2 linked regions of the Struthio camelus genome follow. The protein of the gene in region 1 binds, or shares a complex with, the protein of each later gene. Links are inferred from orthologs where the notes say so. Each region holds a gene or a part of one and is shown on either strand. Other genes may lie near its edges.

The links. Proteins that work in one complex are often made in the same cells at the same time.
Region 2: STUB1 (region 1) and BAG3 share a complex: the UniProt entries of both Homo sapiens proteins name them as parts of the chaperone-assisted selective autophagy (CASA) complex. The link is inferred for Struthio camelus from reciprocal best matches to the Homo sapiens genes STUB1 and BAG3.

The regions. Positions count from the first base shown.
Region 1 is NC_090956.1:17,572,737-17,580,561, reverse strand, and holds the start of STUB1 (E3 ubiquitin-protein ligase CHIP), read left to right. Parts: upstream 1-4,812; 5' UTR 4,813-4,957; intron 4,958-7,825. Other genes in the region: RHBDL1 (rhomboid-related protein 1), read left to right, coding at 86-244, 440-664, 745-893, 989-1,101, 1,187-1,287, 1,372-1,432, 1,516-1,787. UniProt on the Homo sapiens protein: E3 ubiquitin-protein ligase which targets misfolded chaperone substrates towards proteasomal degradation.
Region 2 is NC_090948.1:7,078,509-7,085,984, reverse strand, and holds the start of BAG3 (BAG family molecular chaperone regulator 3), read left to right. Parts: upstream 1-4,464; 5' UTR 4,465-4,579; coding exon 4,580-4,744; intron 4,745-7,476. UniProt on the Homo sapiens protein: Co-chaperone and adapter protein that connects different classes of molecular chaperones including heat shock proteins 70 (HSP70s), e.g. HSPA1A/HSP70 or HSPA8/HSC70, and small heat shock proteins (sHSPs), e.g. HSPB8.

The sequences.
Region 1 (7,825 bases):
TCGGCTGCCGCGGCGGCGGCGGCGCGGGGGCACCAGCGAGGCGACGGCGCCGCTGGGCCGTGCGGCCCTGTGCTCTGCTCCGCAGCTGGACCCCGAGAACACCGGCTTCGTCGGCGCCGAGACCTTCGCCAGCCTCGTGCACCGCCACGAGCTGCCCCTGGACCCCGCCAAGCTGGACATGCTGGTGGCGCTGGCGCAGGGCGACGGCGAGGGGCAGGTCTGCTACCAGGAGCTGGTGGATCTGGTCAGTCCCGGGGTGGCGCGGGCCGGGGCCGGGAGCAGGAGAGGGACCGGGGCGGGCGGGCGCCGGGCACCCCCCCGTGCCGGCCGGCCGGGCACGGGCGAAACGCGCCGGGCAGTGCCGGGAGCCGCGCGGCTCCCCGCGGTCCGGCGGGGCGCCCCGGCCGGGCGGTGGTGGGCCACGGCCCTCTCGCCGCAGATCAGCAGCAAGCGCTCGAGCAGCTTCAAGCGAGCCATCGCCAACGGGCAGCGGGCCCTGCCCCGGGACGTGCTGCTCGACCAGACCGGCCTGGGCTTCTACAAGCGCTTCGTGCGCTACGTGGCCTACGAGATCCTGCCCTGCGAGATGGACCGGCGCTGGTACTTCTACCAGCACCGCACTTGCCCCCCACCCGTCTTCATGGCCGCCGTGACGCTCACCCAGGTGCGCGGGGGGCCGGTGCCGCGGGCAGGCGGCCGGGGGGTCGGGACGGGGCGCTGACGGCTGCCCGGCGGCTCGCGCAGATCATCGTGTTCCTGTGCTACGGCGCCCGGCTGAACAAGTGGGTGCTGCAGACCTACCACCCCGAGTACATGAAGAGCCCCCTGGTCTACCACCCCGGGCACCGGGCCCGCGCCTGGCGCTTCCTCACCTACATGTTCATGCACGTGGGGTAAGGTGGGCCCGGCGGCGGCGGGGCGCCTCGGCCGGCGGGCGGGCGCCGGCGGCGGGGCGGCCGGCCCACCCGCGTCCTCCCCTGCGCGGCAGGCTGGAGCAGCTGGGCTTCAACGCCCTGCTGCAGCTCATGATCGGCGTGCCCCTGGAGATGGTGCACGGCGTCCTGCGCATCAGCTTCCTCTACCTGGCCGGCGTGCTGGCAGGTGGGTGCGCACCCCGTGGGGGGGGGGGTGCGGGGGACCCCCCCCCCCGCACCCCGGCCGCCCTGAGCGCCGCCGCTGCCCGCAGGCTCGCTGACCGTCTCCATCACGGACATGCGGGCGCCGCTGGTGGGCGGCTCCGGCGGCGTCTACGCGCTCTGCTCTGCCCACCTGGCCAACGTGGTCATGGTAAGTGGCCACCCGGCCCCGAAACCGGACCCCCCCCCCCCGCCGCCGCCGCCGCCCCCCGCCCACGCGCCCCTCTCCCCGCAGAACTGGGCAGGGATGCGCTGCCCCTACAAGCTGCTCCGCATGGTGCTGGCGCTGGTGTGCAGTAAGTAGCGGCCGGGGGGGGGGGGGCCGGGCGGCGCGGGGGGCCGCCGGCCGGGGGGGCTGAGCGGCGGCCGTGTCTTGCAGTGAGCTCGGAGGTGGGCCGGGCCGTGTGGCTGCGCTTCTCGCCGCCGCTGCCGGCCTCGGGCCCCCAGCCCAGCTTCATGGCCCACCTGGCGGGGGCCATCGTGGGCATCAGCATGGGGCTCACCATCCTGCGCAGCTACGAGGAGAGCCTGCGCGACCAGTGCGGCTGGTGGGTGGTGCTGCTCTCCTACGGCACCTTCCTCCTCTTCGCCGTCTTCTGGAACATCTTCGCCTACGACCTGCTGGGGGCACAGATCCCGCCGCCCCCCTAGCGCCCTGCCCGCCCCGCCGCTGCCCGTTGTTCCCTCTGCCTCTCGTTTTGTATCGGTGTCGCCCCCCCCCCCCCCCGACCCCGGGGCGGCGGGGGTCCCTGCAGGGCCGGGCAGCCCCCCAGCCCCGGCAGCCGCCGCCCCGCGCCGCCCACCCGCCCCGGCCCCGCTCGGGGCTCGGCCCCCGCCGGCCTCGCTACACCCCTTCCGAGGAGCCCTCCGCGGCCAGGGCAGCGGCGCCTTTACGTGGAGGACCGGTGCCAAAATAGGACTGATCTATTTTTCTATGCCCCCCCCCCCAAAAAAAAAAAAGAAAAAAGAAAAAGAAATATATATATAGAGAGAGAGAGAGGAAAGAGAGAGAAGGGGAGGAGAAAGAAGAAAGAACCAGCTGAGACCGGCCAAACTCGTTTCAGCAGTGAGCCCGGTGCCCGCCCCCCTCGGCCGTGGCCGGCCCCGCTCTGCCGCCCGGCGCCGCCGGGGCGCCCGCCGGAGCCCCCCGGCCCCCGACCCAACCGACCTTTTTGGAGTATAAATAAATATTTTGCACACCAGCGGCCCCCTCGGGCTCCGGCAGCGGCGGGGGGGGGAACGGGCGCTGGGATGCTCCGAGGGGTTTCGGGGGGGGGGGGTTGAGCCTGCTAATTCCATGTCAGCTGCTAATTAAATCAGTGCGTTGCTCATTAGTTGAGCGGGAGCGGGGCCGAGGAAGCAGGCCTGGTGCCCTCGGCCAGCTGTGGTCCGGGGGGCGGGGGGGGGGGGGAAGCCCCCCCCCCCAGCAGCCTGCGTGGGGCCTGAGCTGGGAAACGGGGAGGGGAGAGGGCAAATCCGGCCTGGGAGCAGATGACTAGGGCAGAAAAGTTTGGGGGGGGGGGGGGACGAGCCCAGCGCGCGGGAGGGCTCGCGGGGCGCCCGGTCCGGGCCCCCCCCCCCCCGAGCTGCTCCGGCACCGAGGGCAGCCCCCGCCGCCGGCCCCCCCGCCCCACTAACCCCCACCGCGCCCCCTCCCAGCACCCTGCCCTGTGCCCCCCACCCCATCCTGCCCCCCCCACCCACTGAGCCCCCCCATCCAGCCCCCACATACCCCCCCCCATCAGGCCCCAGGGTGCCCATCCAGCCCCACGCACCCCAATCTGGCCCCCCCTATCTCATACCCCCCCCATGCACCCACATCATCGTGCACCCCCACCCCCCCATGCACCCCATATCCCCATGCTCCCACACCTCACTGCAGCCTGCACCCCCCCACCCATGTATCCTGCACCCCATGCATCCTACCGCACCCCACTGCAGCCCCCCCATATACCCCACCCCCCCCCACTCCCAAAGCAGCCCACACTCTATTGCATCCACAGCCCCCGCACCCTGTACCCCCCCACCCCACTTTATGAACGCTGCACCCTCCACACCCCTCATGCACCCCATACCCCACTGCACCCCACACCTTGCACCCCTCTCTGCACCTACAACCCCATGCACCCCACTGCGCCTCCCCACAGCACCCATCTCCCCCACACCCTCCATGCACCCTGCACCCAGTGCACCCCATACCTCCCAGCACCCTCCTGACATCTTGCACCCCCCCCCGCTCTTGCACACTGCACCTCCTGCACACCCCCCCCTGCTCCTGCCTGTCCCCCTACCCACCCCAGCACCCCAAATCCCCCAGTACCCCTTTGCACCCCATATGCCGCCAGTACCCTCCCTGCACCTTGCACCCCCCCCTTGCACCCTCCAGCACCCCATGCACCCTACTGCCCCCTTGCACCCACGTCCGTGCACCCCACATCCCACCCCATGTACCCCAACCCCCCCATGCATCCCACACCCTGCTGCACCCACTGCAACATAACCCCCCCCATGCACCCTATCCCTTTCTGCCCTCGCTGCACCCCACAATCCCCCTGCACCCCACCTCCGCCTGCACCCCACAACCCCCCTGCCCTCACATGTACCCCCAACCCCCCATGCACCCCCCTGCACTCAACCCCCCCCGCCCTCACATGTACCCCCAAACCCATGTACCCCCACTGCACTCCACAACCCCCCCACCCTCACATGTACCCCCCCAAGCTCCCCATGCACCCCCCCCACCTCCCCCTGCACCCCACAACCCCCTGCCCTCCCATGCACCCCCGAAGCCCCCCACCTCCCCTTGCACTCCACAACCCCCCCATGCACCCCACCCCCTCCTGCACCACGCACCCCACCCCATACCCCCATGCACCCCCAATCCCCCCATGCACCCCCAACCCCCATGCACCCCCCCGCAGCCCACACCCCACTCCAAACCCCCCTGCACCCCCCAATCCCCATGCACCCCCCCGCAGCCCACACCCCACCCCAACCCCCCTGCACCCCCAACCCCCATGCACCCCCCCGCAGCCCACACCCCACTCCAACCCCCCCGCACCCCCCACCCCCTGCACCCCGCACCCTCCCGCAGCCCACACCCCACTCCAACCCCCCTGCACCCCCAACCCCCCTGCACCCCGCACCCCCCCGCAGCCCACACCCCACCCCAACCCCCCTGCACCCCCAACCCCCATGCACCCCCCCGCAGCCCACACCCCACCCCAACCCCCCCGCACACCCAACCCCCTGCACCCCGCACCCCCCCGCAGCGCACCCCTAACCCCATGCACCCCCCCGCAGCCCACCCCCCACCCCAACCCCCCCGCACCCCCCACCCCCTGCACCCCGCACCCCCCCGCAGCCCACCCCTCACCCCAACCCCCCCCCGCAGCCGGCGCGGCGGCAGCGCTGCCCCCCGCCGCCCCGCCCCCGGCGGCCCCGGCCCGGAAGCGCGGCGGGGGGGGGGCGGGGGGGCGGGGCGGCGGCGGCGCTGTCGCAGTGCGCGGCCAGGAGCGGAGCCGCCGGCCCGGCCCGGCCCGGCGCGGGGGGGCGGCGGCGGCGGCGGCGCCATGAAGGGGAAGGAGGAGAAGGAGGGCGGCGCGGCGGGCGCGGGGCCCGGCGGGGCGGCGGGGGCGGGCGCGGGGCCGCGGGGCGGCGGCGGGGGCGCGGGGGGCCCCGGCCCCGGCTCCGGCCCCGGCCCGGGCCCCGGCGGCAGCCCCGAGAAGAGCCACAGCGCGCAGGAGCACAAGGAGCAGGGCAACCGGCTCTTCGTGGGCCGCAAGTACCCCGAGGCCGCCGCCTGCTACGGCCGCGCCATCGTGAGTGGGGCCGGGGCCGGGGCCGGGGCCGGGGCCGGGGCTGGGGCCGGGGCTGGGGCCGGGGCTGCCACCGGACCGACCCTCCCCCAGGCCGCCTCCCTCCGTCCCCCATGTCCCCAGGCCGGGCCTGTCCCTGTCCCCCCCCAACCATGTCCCCACGCTGGGCCTGTCCCCCCTCTCCATGTCCCCAGGCCGGGCCTGTCCCTGTCCCCCACCCCCCAACCATGTCCCCGCCCTGTCCCTGTCCCCCTCTCCATGTCCCCAGGCCGGGCCTGTCCCTGTCCCCCCCCAACCATGTCCCCGCCCTGTCCCTGTCCCCCTCTCCATGTCCCCAGGCCAGGCCTGTCCCTGTCCCCCCCCAACCATGTCCCCAGGCCGGGCCTGTCCCCCCTCTCCATGTCCCCACGCCGGGCCTGTCCCTGTCCCCCCCCTCTCCATGTCCCCACGCCGGGCCTGTCCCCCCTCTCCATGTCCCCAGGCCGGGCCTGTCCCTGTCCCCCCCCAACCATGTCCCCACGCTGGGCCTGTCCCCCTCTCCATGTCCCCAGGCCGGGCCTGTCCCTGTCCCCCCCCAACCATGTCCCCATGCTGGGCCTGTCCCCCTCTCCATGTCCCCAGGCCGGGCCTGTCCCTGTCCCCCCCCAACCATGTCCCCACGCTGGGCCTGTCCCCCTCTCCATGTCCCCAGGCCGGGCCTGTCCCTGTCCCCCACCCCCCAACCATGTCCCCGCCCTGTCCCTGTCCCCCTCTCCATGTCCCCAGGCCGGGCCTGTCCCTGTCCCCCCCCAACCATGTCCCCGCCCTGTCCCTGTCCCCCTCTCCATGTCCCCAGGCCAGGCCTGTCCCTGTCCCCCCCCAACCATGTCCCCAGGCCGGGCCTGTCCCCCCTCTCCATGTCCCCACGCCGGGCCTGTCCCTGTCCCCCCCCTCTCCATGTCCCCACGCCGGGCCTGTCCCCCCTCTCCATGTCCCCAGGCCGGGCCTGTCCCTGTCCCCCCCCAACCATGTCCCCACGCTGGGCCTGTCCCCCTCTCCATGTCCCCAGGCCGGGCCTGTCCCTGTCCCCCCCCAACCATGTCCCCATGCTGGGCCTGTCCCCCTCTCCATGTCCCCAGGCCGGGCCTGTCCCTGTCCCCCCCCAACCATGTCCCCACGCTGGGCCTGTCCCCCTCTCCATGTCCCCAGGCCGGGCCTGTCCCTGTCCCCCACCCCCCAACCATGTCCCCGCCCTGTCCCTGTCCCCCTCTCCATGTCCCCAGGCCGGGCCTGTCCCTGTCCCCCCCCAACCATGTCCCCGCCCTGTCCCTGTCCCCCTCTCCATGTCCCCAGGCCAGGCCTGTCCCTGTCCCCCCCCAACCATGTCCCCAGGCCGGGCCTGTCCCCCCTCTCCATGTCCCCACGCCGGGCCTGTCCCTGTCCCCCCCCTCTCCATGTCCCCACGCCGGGCCTGTCCCCCCTCTCCATGTCCCCAGGCCGGGCCTGTCCCTGTCCCCCCCCAACCATGTCCCCACGCTGGGCCTGTCCCCCCTCTCCATGTCCCCAGGCCGGGCCTGTCCCTGTCCCCCACCCCCCAACCATGTCCCCGCCCTGTCCCTGTCCCCCTCTCCATGTCCCCAGGCCGGGCCTGTCCCTGTCCCCCCCCAACCATGTCCCCGCCCTGTCCCTGTCCCCCTCTCCATGTCCCCAGGCCAGGCCTGTCCCTGTCCCCCCCCAACCATGTCCCCATGCTGGGCCTGTCCCCCTCTCCATGTCCCCAGGCCGGGCCTGTCCCTGTCCCCCCCCAACCATGTCCCCACGCTGGGCCTGTCCCCCTCTCCATGTCCCCAGGCCGGGCCTGTCCCCCCCCAACTGTGTCCCCATGCTCGGCCTCCTCCCCCCACATCCCTAGGCCAAGCCTGTCCCTGTCCCCCCCCCACCCCAACCATGTCCCCATGCTGGGCCTAGCCTCTACCCCAAAGTGTCCCCAGGCCAGCCCCCCTGCTGCCATATCCCCAGGCTGAGCCTGTCCCTGTCCCCCCCCCCCAAATGTGTCCCCATACTGGGCCTGTCTCCTTCCTCCCATGTCCCCAGACCGGGCCTGTCCCCTCCCCATGTGTCCCCAGGCCAGGCCTGTCCCCCTGCCATGTGTCCCTAGGCCGAGCCTATGTCTCACCCCCCCCCCCCGCCCCATCCCCAGGCCAGGCCTGTCCTCCCCCAACCGTGTCCCCACGCTGGGTCTGCTCCCCCCACCATGTTCCCAGGCCGGGCCTTTCCCTGTTCCCCCCCACCCCAATGTCCCCAGGCTGGGCCTGTCCCCCCCCCCCCCCAAGTGTGTCCCCAAGCCAGACCTGTGGGGCCGGGGGAGGCTGGGCCGTGGTGGCAGCAGGCTGGTAGGGGAATGTGGGGCCTGGCTGGGTCCCCTCCGCCCTGTGTGTGTTGGGGGGGGGGCTGGGCGAGGGGCAGGCTGCCCCCGTGCCGTGGGGACCAGGCCCGGACCCCCGTGTGCCCAGCGCCACGGGGCAGCGGGTCGGGGCCCCGCCGGGGGGCTCGGCGGCCTGCGGGGAGCCAGAGAGCGCTGTGCGCGGCTGCGGGCCTGCTCCCGGCCCGCCCGGCTTTCGGGGCGCGCGCCCTGGGGGGGGGCGCTTCACCCCCGGCCCGGCCCGCGCTCCCCGGCGCCGTGGGGAGACGGCTTCGCCGAGCCGGTTTGGGGAGTCGTCCCAGCGCGCACGCCTTGCGTCGCCACCCCTCCCTGGCCGCCCCCGCCGGGCCGCTCGTCGGGGCGCCTGGCGAACGTGCCCTCCCGCGGCCGCGGCGCCGCGCGCTCATCCCGCCCCGAGCCGCGCCGGCCGTCCCCGTGCAGGAGCCTGCGGCCGATCCGTTGATTTTCCA
Region 2 (7,476 bases), on another chromosome or scaffold:
ATATGCTTTGCGGATGCCAAGACTTGGTGCAAATGACCTGTGATTGAAACACGTAAGTTTAAAAAGCTTTTCTCCATTTAGCAAGTACATTTACCCCTCTATGTTCTTACTAATGTTTTGCATTTTCTATTGAAGTTAATAGGAGCTATATTTATATACCTAATTATTTGCATTTGATTACTGTAACTCCAATGAGCAGATGACACGATCAAACTGTACGGGCCGTACAATGGCTGCAGTAATACAGCAGTCAGTGTGAGATCAGACCCTCTGTGGATAGTGATCTATTTCATCAGCTGTTAGACTAAATTATGAGCTACAAAAACAAGGACAAAAAGGTCAGTAAAGTTATCTGTAGTATAAGAGGTAGAGTAGTAGAAGATTGCAAATCGCGGCATCTTTAATTTTCTGAAATAGGGGGCCAAATCATTTCAGTGATTTTTTTTGTTTTGTTGATGCCAAGAAGTCCACAATTCTGAACAAATCAAGAAGTCAAAATCTCCTCTGCTCCGGTTGTAGTTAGCAGAGAATTTTTAGTTAAGACCTTTTTGCTTTTAATTGAAATGGTTTGTACAGCTGGAGCAGGGTATTTCTTCAAAATGCAATCAGTGGAGTTCTGTGCTATTCAGTATTGATACTCTGGATGTGGATGAAGCATCAGGCTGTGGAAGTCATGGTAGTGGATTTGCCATGTTTATCTAACCTGAACATTAAGAGACTCCACGTGCCCGCTGCACTTATTAACAGAGCCTTTTTATGAACTCAATCTTAAATGCATCCAGCAAAGAACTTGTATTCCCACTTAGGAATACAGCTCTAGACACTTGTCATACACATTACTTACCCACAGATCCATCAGTAAAAGCTTTCTAGAATACCTGATCCAGAACAAACATTTTCGACTCATAGTCCTGATTAATCCAACTTTTTCTGTTCAGGTAATCTGCTAAATTATCATGGGTACTCAGAAGGTTGACCAGCCAATTTAGAGCTTATCCCAAGACACATTGCTTCCTGACATACCACAGAGATTTACTTGCTTATAATGGTGCTGCTTTGAACAACCTGAATTATTCAAGCCCATTTAGGAGAGAAGCAGCAGCACCATGGATAGCCTGCACAAACATGCCAGGCCATCTTGGACAGAACTGTCACCCAAGTCCTTGTGTGAACAGTAGATGAAACAGAGCACCTTGGCAGACAATTCATGATCCATCCGTGACAGAAGGTATGACAGCACGCAGTGAAGAACTTCCCCAGGTGGCCTATCTATGCTGTCCTGAGGTTTCTGGAACGTAGTTGTGCATATAAAATGAATTTACCACAGGCCATGGTATAATGTGGAAGCTGAGGCAAATTCTCTCCACAGTCTTGAAGATCAAAACGGAGAGATGATGTAGTTGCTGGCTTGAGGAAGAAATGGCTTTCTTGAGTTAGGGTCCTGGATTATTCCTTGGAAATCCAAGTGCTCATATGAGCCTAATGATTTTCTAATTGACTGGTGAAGAATCTGTCCATTTTCAAGACAAAGAAACACATGAAGACCCTGTACAGCTTATTATCTTTGGTTAACTGTGATTACATGGTTTCTGGTTGTTTTGGAACACCCTGGAACAAATGCTCTTCTGGGTCTGCAAAACCCTATGCAGATATCAACCTAAAGAAGTCAGGAGCACTATGTTTGCACCAATATGAAGAAGACAGAAGTCTCTCCAAAAAATAACAAAAGCTTCTTCATTATTTTCCCTTCTGAAATGGAATATATAGATCTCGAACCTGGAGTCTCATCTTAAAATACGTGGAGAGTACAGAAACTTCTTCATCTTTTAACAAATTTTCGTGGACCTGAAATTTTTGCTGAGCAGTATTCCTTACATGAACATTTCCCTAAATCAGTCTGGTCATGAATAAGACTAACAGTAATACAAACTAGAAGCCATGTTGCCTCGGAGTTGCAGTTATGGCCCAGCACAACATTGTATTAGAGAATAAAAAAGTGAATCACTGAGTTGCTATCCCCTATAACCTACCTAGCTGGGAATTCTTTCAGCTGTAAGAGGTACCAGGCTGAAATCTCTCTCTCAGGAAGAGATTTTAATTGACAGAAAAACCATGAGATCTAGCCAACTAAAATCAGTCACAAAAATGATTTTACTTCTTAGTCCACACTCCCTTCTCTGCAGCTGGAGCCTTGTCTCCGCGAGTCTCTCTCCTGTAGACAATCAAAAGCACCCCGACCTATTAGCTCCTGCTAATTTCTGTGAAACGTACTCTCCTCCATTCCTTAGCATGGCACAAATGCACAAACACGTCTAACTTACAATTGTTAGCTAGCCCTTTGAACTTTCCTTTTATTCATTCTTCACGTACTTGCTGACCTCATTCATTAACTCTGCTAAGCATACAACTAGCTATCAGCTGCAGCAAAACAAAGAAACCCCATTCTTCATTTCTCTATTTACACTCCATCAGGCACAAAAACTATGTGTATTACCTCAATTTACCTAAGTAGTTTCCCCGGCAAGACCTTTTAACATTTCTGTATGCTGTTCCCCTAAGTCAGTGGCTTTCGTTGACTTGGCAAGGACTGTGGTATATGCCACAGAGAACTTATGGTTTAAGCATGCTTCTTACTGTTCTGAAGATGAGACCAAAGAGTGAAATTTCTCTACAGATTTTTACAGATTGGAAGTAGAACAAATCTCAGATATCAAGTCTTTTGAGGCAACTGCTGATATTAATGAAGCTGGACAGAGATGGCTTTGATAAGAGCATGAGAGGTAGCAGGGTTAGGAGATATGTCCAGGGATGTGTATCACAGTCCAGGACTGATTTTAAGATATGCGAGATATGTGACTGTTGCTCTAACAAATGGGTAAGTCAGAAGCGATGATGCTGATAATACGAGCATTTCAAGGTACAGACTGAAAAAAAAAAGGTCAGTTTACAATACCTGCAAGTCAAAGGTGCACAATAACAATGAGGATAGAAAGAGCAGTCTTTGATGGACTACTGTGTAGTTCTGAAGGCAAGCAATGTACAGAATGGAAGTGTTACAGGAAGGAAGAAGCAAGTTTGAGGGGTTATTAGGTATACCAGCATAATGAAGTAAACTCATTCTGCCAATGGTTAAAGGAGTATCACCGTCAAGCAGTATCAAGAGATCTTTGGGCTTTACTTCCTCAAGCAAGAGGAGATCCTGACTGTCCCCAGGAGCGGGAACACACAGGCTTTTCTTAAGTACTTCAGTAATGACTATCTCCAAGGAATGCATGCCTTGAATTCCTTGAAGCAAGTAACTTTGCAGCAGGTAATGTCTGCACTTAAGGGACACTCTGCATTCACTGTTCTACTTAAAGTAACTATCAACAGGCATCTGTGGCATGACTGCCGGATGACTACAAGTGGAACAACTATGAAGTACAGTTAACTCAAACTGAACACTTAGGGGGAGTGCATGAAAAACTGATACAGCAGCCATAGAGGAAGGCATGATTTTCAAGTTTTGCGCTTTGACATATTCCTTGGTATTAGTGAAACTGAGGGCTGAGACACATTAAATTACAAAAAGCTAAAGAAGATCAAAACAGCTGAATCTGAAGAGCATGTCTGTCCATCCTCATACTTGGAAATAAAGATTATTTTTATTTGCTATTTGTCGGGTTTAGTCAATTACAACCTTAAGTTATCAGTCACAGGGCAAGCAAGATGCTCTCTGGGCTTTGGTCACTATACCAGGAGGTAGGAATTAATGGGCTGTTACGTCCCAACCATAGGAAGTTCAGAGTACGCTGCAGGGCTGTGTGTTCTCTGGGGACACTGCTGGCCTAAAAATCCCCTTCTCCTGTATCAGACTTACACTCTCGTAGCAGGAACTGGACAGAGCAGTAAAGCAGCATGCGTATCTTTTAGGTTTACTTTTCCAGAGTCTGCCTCAAGCATTGCTCCTGTTAAGTGGGCCTGTAAAATACATGTGCACTCCTGCAGAAAGGTAAAAGAGAGGACTCGCTCCACGCACTTATCCGCCCTGCCTCTTCCTGAGGAAGCCCCCGGGGGTGGGTCCAGACTGCAGATCTCTGGGGGCAGCAGCCGCCCCCCCCCCCCGGTCTGTTAAGACAAGACTCGCTCCAGTGCGACAGCAAGCAAAGCAGCCCTGCTCAGAAATCGCCAGTCACCCGCGCCACGCCGCCGGCTCTGCCGGGGGTGCGGGGCCCTCCCGCCGGGCCGGGCGCTCGCAGCGCAGGGGGTGAAGGAAACTTGCAGCCGCTGCCCCGGGGCCGGGCGGGGTGACTCAAGGGGCAGCCCCTGCCCGGCGGCCCGGAGGCGGCCAAGCTGTGCTAGACGCAACCAGAAGTTTCCAGCCGGCCAGCTTACCCCGCGCCTCTCGCTCTTCCTCCTCCGCCCCTCCTCCTCCTCCGCCCCTCCTCCTTCCCCTCCCCTCCTCCGCCTTCCCCCTTTGCACAGAGCGGCTATTTCCAGACACTTCCAGCCCCTTGTCTCCTCCCTCCCTCCCGCCCCGCTTGATAAAGGCGCCTGGCCGGTTTCCCCGCCTGACACTGCAGCTCCTGTCTGGCCCGGCATGAGTGCCGCCACTCACTCCCCGCTGGTGCAGATGGAGGGCGGCAGCGCCGAGCCGCTGCCCCCCGGCTGGGAGATCAAGATCGACCCGCAGACCGGCTGGCCCTTCTTCGTGGATCACAACAGCCGCACCACCACCTGGAGCGACCCGCGCCTGCGGGCCGAGGTACGGCGGGTGGGGAGGTGGGTGCCCCGCTCCGCGCCGCGCTGCTCCGCTCCCTTCCGCGCCCCGCCGCAACTTCGGCGGAGCAGCTCGGAGCGGGCGGGGGGGGGGGGGGGGAAGAGGGGGGAGAGCCGGCGGGGCGGCGCGGCCGCGAAGGGCAAAGCCGTGACAGAGCGGGCGGGGAGGGGCCGCGGCCGTTGGCGCCGCGCGGCCGTTGGCGCCGGGGCGGGGGGCAGGGCGCGGCCGGCGGCCCCCGCCCGGGGGGGGGGCAGGGCGGCCGGCGCTCTCCTCAGTGCATGGCAATGCAGTGAGGCCAGGAGCTGCCTTTTGTCTCTGACGCACTGCAGTCCCTTTTTTGTGCATTAAATCATTTGATACCTCGGCCCCTGTAATGTTTATTTAAAGTTGGTTAAGTCCACCCAGCCTGCCTGGGAAGACGCAAAACTTTGATGCCTTTTTTTTTTTTTTTTTTTCCCCCTGCTCCGGGTAGTCCAAACAGTGAATGCGTTTAAAAAAAAAAAAAAAAAAACCTAGAAACCCAATCCAGAGTTTATAACTTGTCAAGGTTTCTTTTCTGGTCACAAAGTATCTCAGTAATTTTGCTGTCTGGTTTTGTTTTGTTTTTAAGCATGCTCAGGGAAAAGCTGTATCTTAGTCCAAATATGTCCATGGGAAGAGAGGCAGCTGAGGGGAGAGCGGGTGTGAGGGGGTAAGGGCCCTCCTCAGTGGCTCTTTCAAGTCAAACTCTCTTGGTTCCCGGGAATACAGCGATTTGACCAGTATTAGCGTTTCTGTAAAGAATGCAGTGACTAGCCAGAAAGTGCTGGAAACTTTGAGCGGCACCAGAAGTTCCGAGTCCAGTGGAAAAACAATTCCTGTGGGATTTTTTTGCGTTTTCATCCCCACTTGGCCACACTTTACAGCTGTCGCCTTCGATTTTTTGCGACTGAATGAAACGGGTGGCGAGGGAGCGTTCCTATCAAAAAGCGCTGACTGTTTTTTTTTTTTTTGATTTGGCCATCCTCGCTACCTAAAACGTCACCCAGAGTTAGGGCCTAGAAAAGGGCCCCCGCCACGTACCAGCGGAGGACAACCGCCCGGTGAAAGGCGGAGGGAGGCCGCAGCCTGGGCCTGTGCGGCGGAGCCACGCGCCTGGCCGTCGGCCGGTTGGCGCGGCTGCGCCGGGGAAGGGCTCCTGCGGCTTGGGCCGTGGCTGGGGCGCTGCCCGGCCGCGCGCCCGGCGTGAAGGCCGCCGGGTTGGCAGGAGGCTGTGTGATGAGCGTGACCGTGCTCGTGTCAGCCCTCGAGGGTCACGGCCGCCTTGCTGTTTTGGCCTCTTGGGAAGAGCCTCGCGCCTGCTTGCTGGGAAGGAGTTCTGCTTGGGTTGCTGTTTTAAGCAGTAGCCCCCTATTTAAGAAATATATATATATATATAAAAATTAATTGCATGAAACATATCTGCGATGCACCGTTTTGAAGATACCTGGTATCTTCAAAATGTGTCTTCAATATACATCACAGACTTTTTTTTTCTTGGTAGCCTTATATAAATTACAAGGGTCAAAGCACTAGATACAGATTGTTATTTCAAGAATGGAAGTTTTTCTAATTACTAATTGAATGATAACGGCCTATTTTGAGAGTGCAGACCGTAACTGAAATCTCAGTGTGAGAGCAGCGTGGTATTTAAAACAAATGACCAGGGTATACTCTTCTGGCATAGAGCTGCTCCATCAGGGTAGCTTAGTGCAGTTGCGTTCACAGATACAAGCTATTGTTTTGAGAGTGTGGAAATGAATCCAAATGGACAAAACATATCCTTCTGTCCCATTTGTGGCTTTTTAAGTGCTAGTTAATTTAATATGCAAGTGTATTGTTCTGGTCGTAATGTAAAGAGGCCTTAAAAAATGTAATTCAATAATGGGAATATAAAGAATAGCATAGGAAAAGTGCTTTAACTCCTTTTTGGAGACACTGTTCTCCTAGTATAATGAGGCACCTGTTACACTGGCTGCTATGGCAATAAAAAGAACAAAATAGTTAAGTATGTTTCTTACAACCATAAAACATAGATGAGGAGAAACTAGTGCTATTTTACTCAAAGGCTTCTGTTATGGAAATACTGCTTGATGCTAACCCATTTAAGAGAAAAATAACACTTAAGCTGCTTTTGGTAATTGCATGAACACAGGAATTTGAAGTGCTCTAATGGATCAGTCTTCTTTTGAGTAGGTGCCTGATACAAGACAAATTTTCAGCCCTATCTGATATGAAATCTGTGGTAATGAGAAGTACTTCTTCTCCTGCCAAGTTGCAAGGGTTATTACAAATAGAAAAAGTTGCACCTGCTTTTGAAGGGCTTTGGTGGAATATAGTGTTGATTTTGGAGAGCTGCAGTGTGATCTTGCTCACAGAAAAATCTCCATATCACCATCTCTTATGGTGATAGAAATTGTGTGTGACTGATCTGATAGGGCCACTTGCCAGAGCCTAGAGAGTCTGTTCAAATTAATGGACAGCTTCTGAAACATTCATTTGTTAAGTACCATTTTATTTACGAGTACTATTGAGCAAAAACTCAGAATGTGACTCGAGGAAAGTGTTTCTGTTCCTAAATAATATTTTTGTAGCTAAGCTACGCCAGAGAAGATAGAGATTGATCACTGACATTGAATTTCAAATCCAACAATGTTTTTTTTTTTTTTTTTTAAAGGCATTAGATACTACTTTTACTT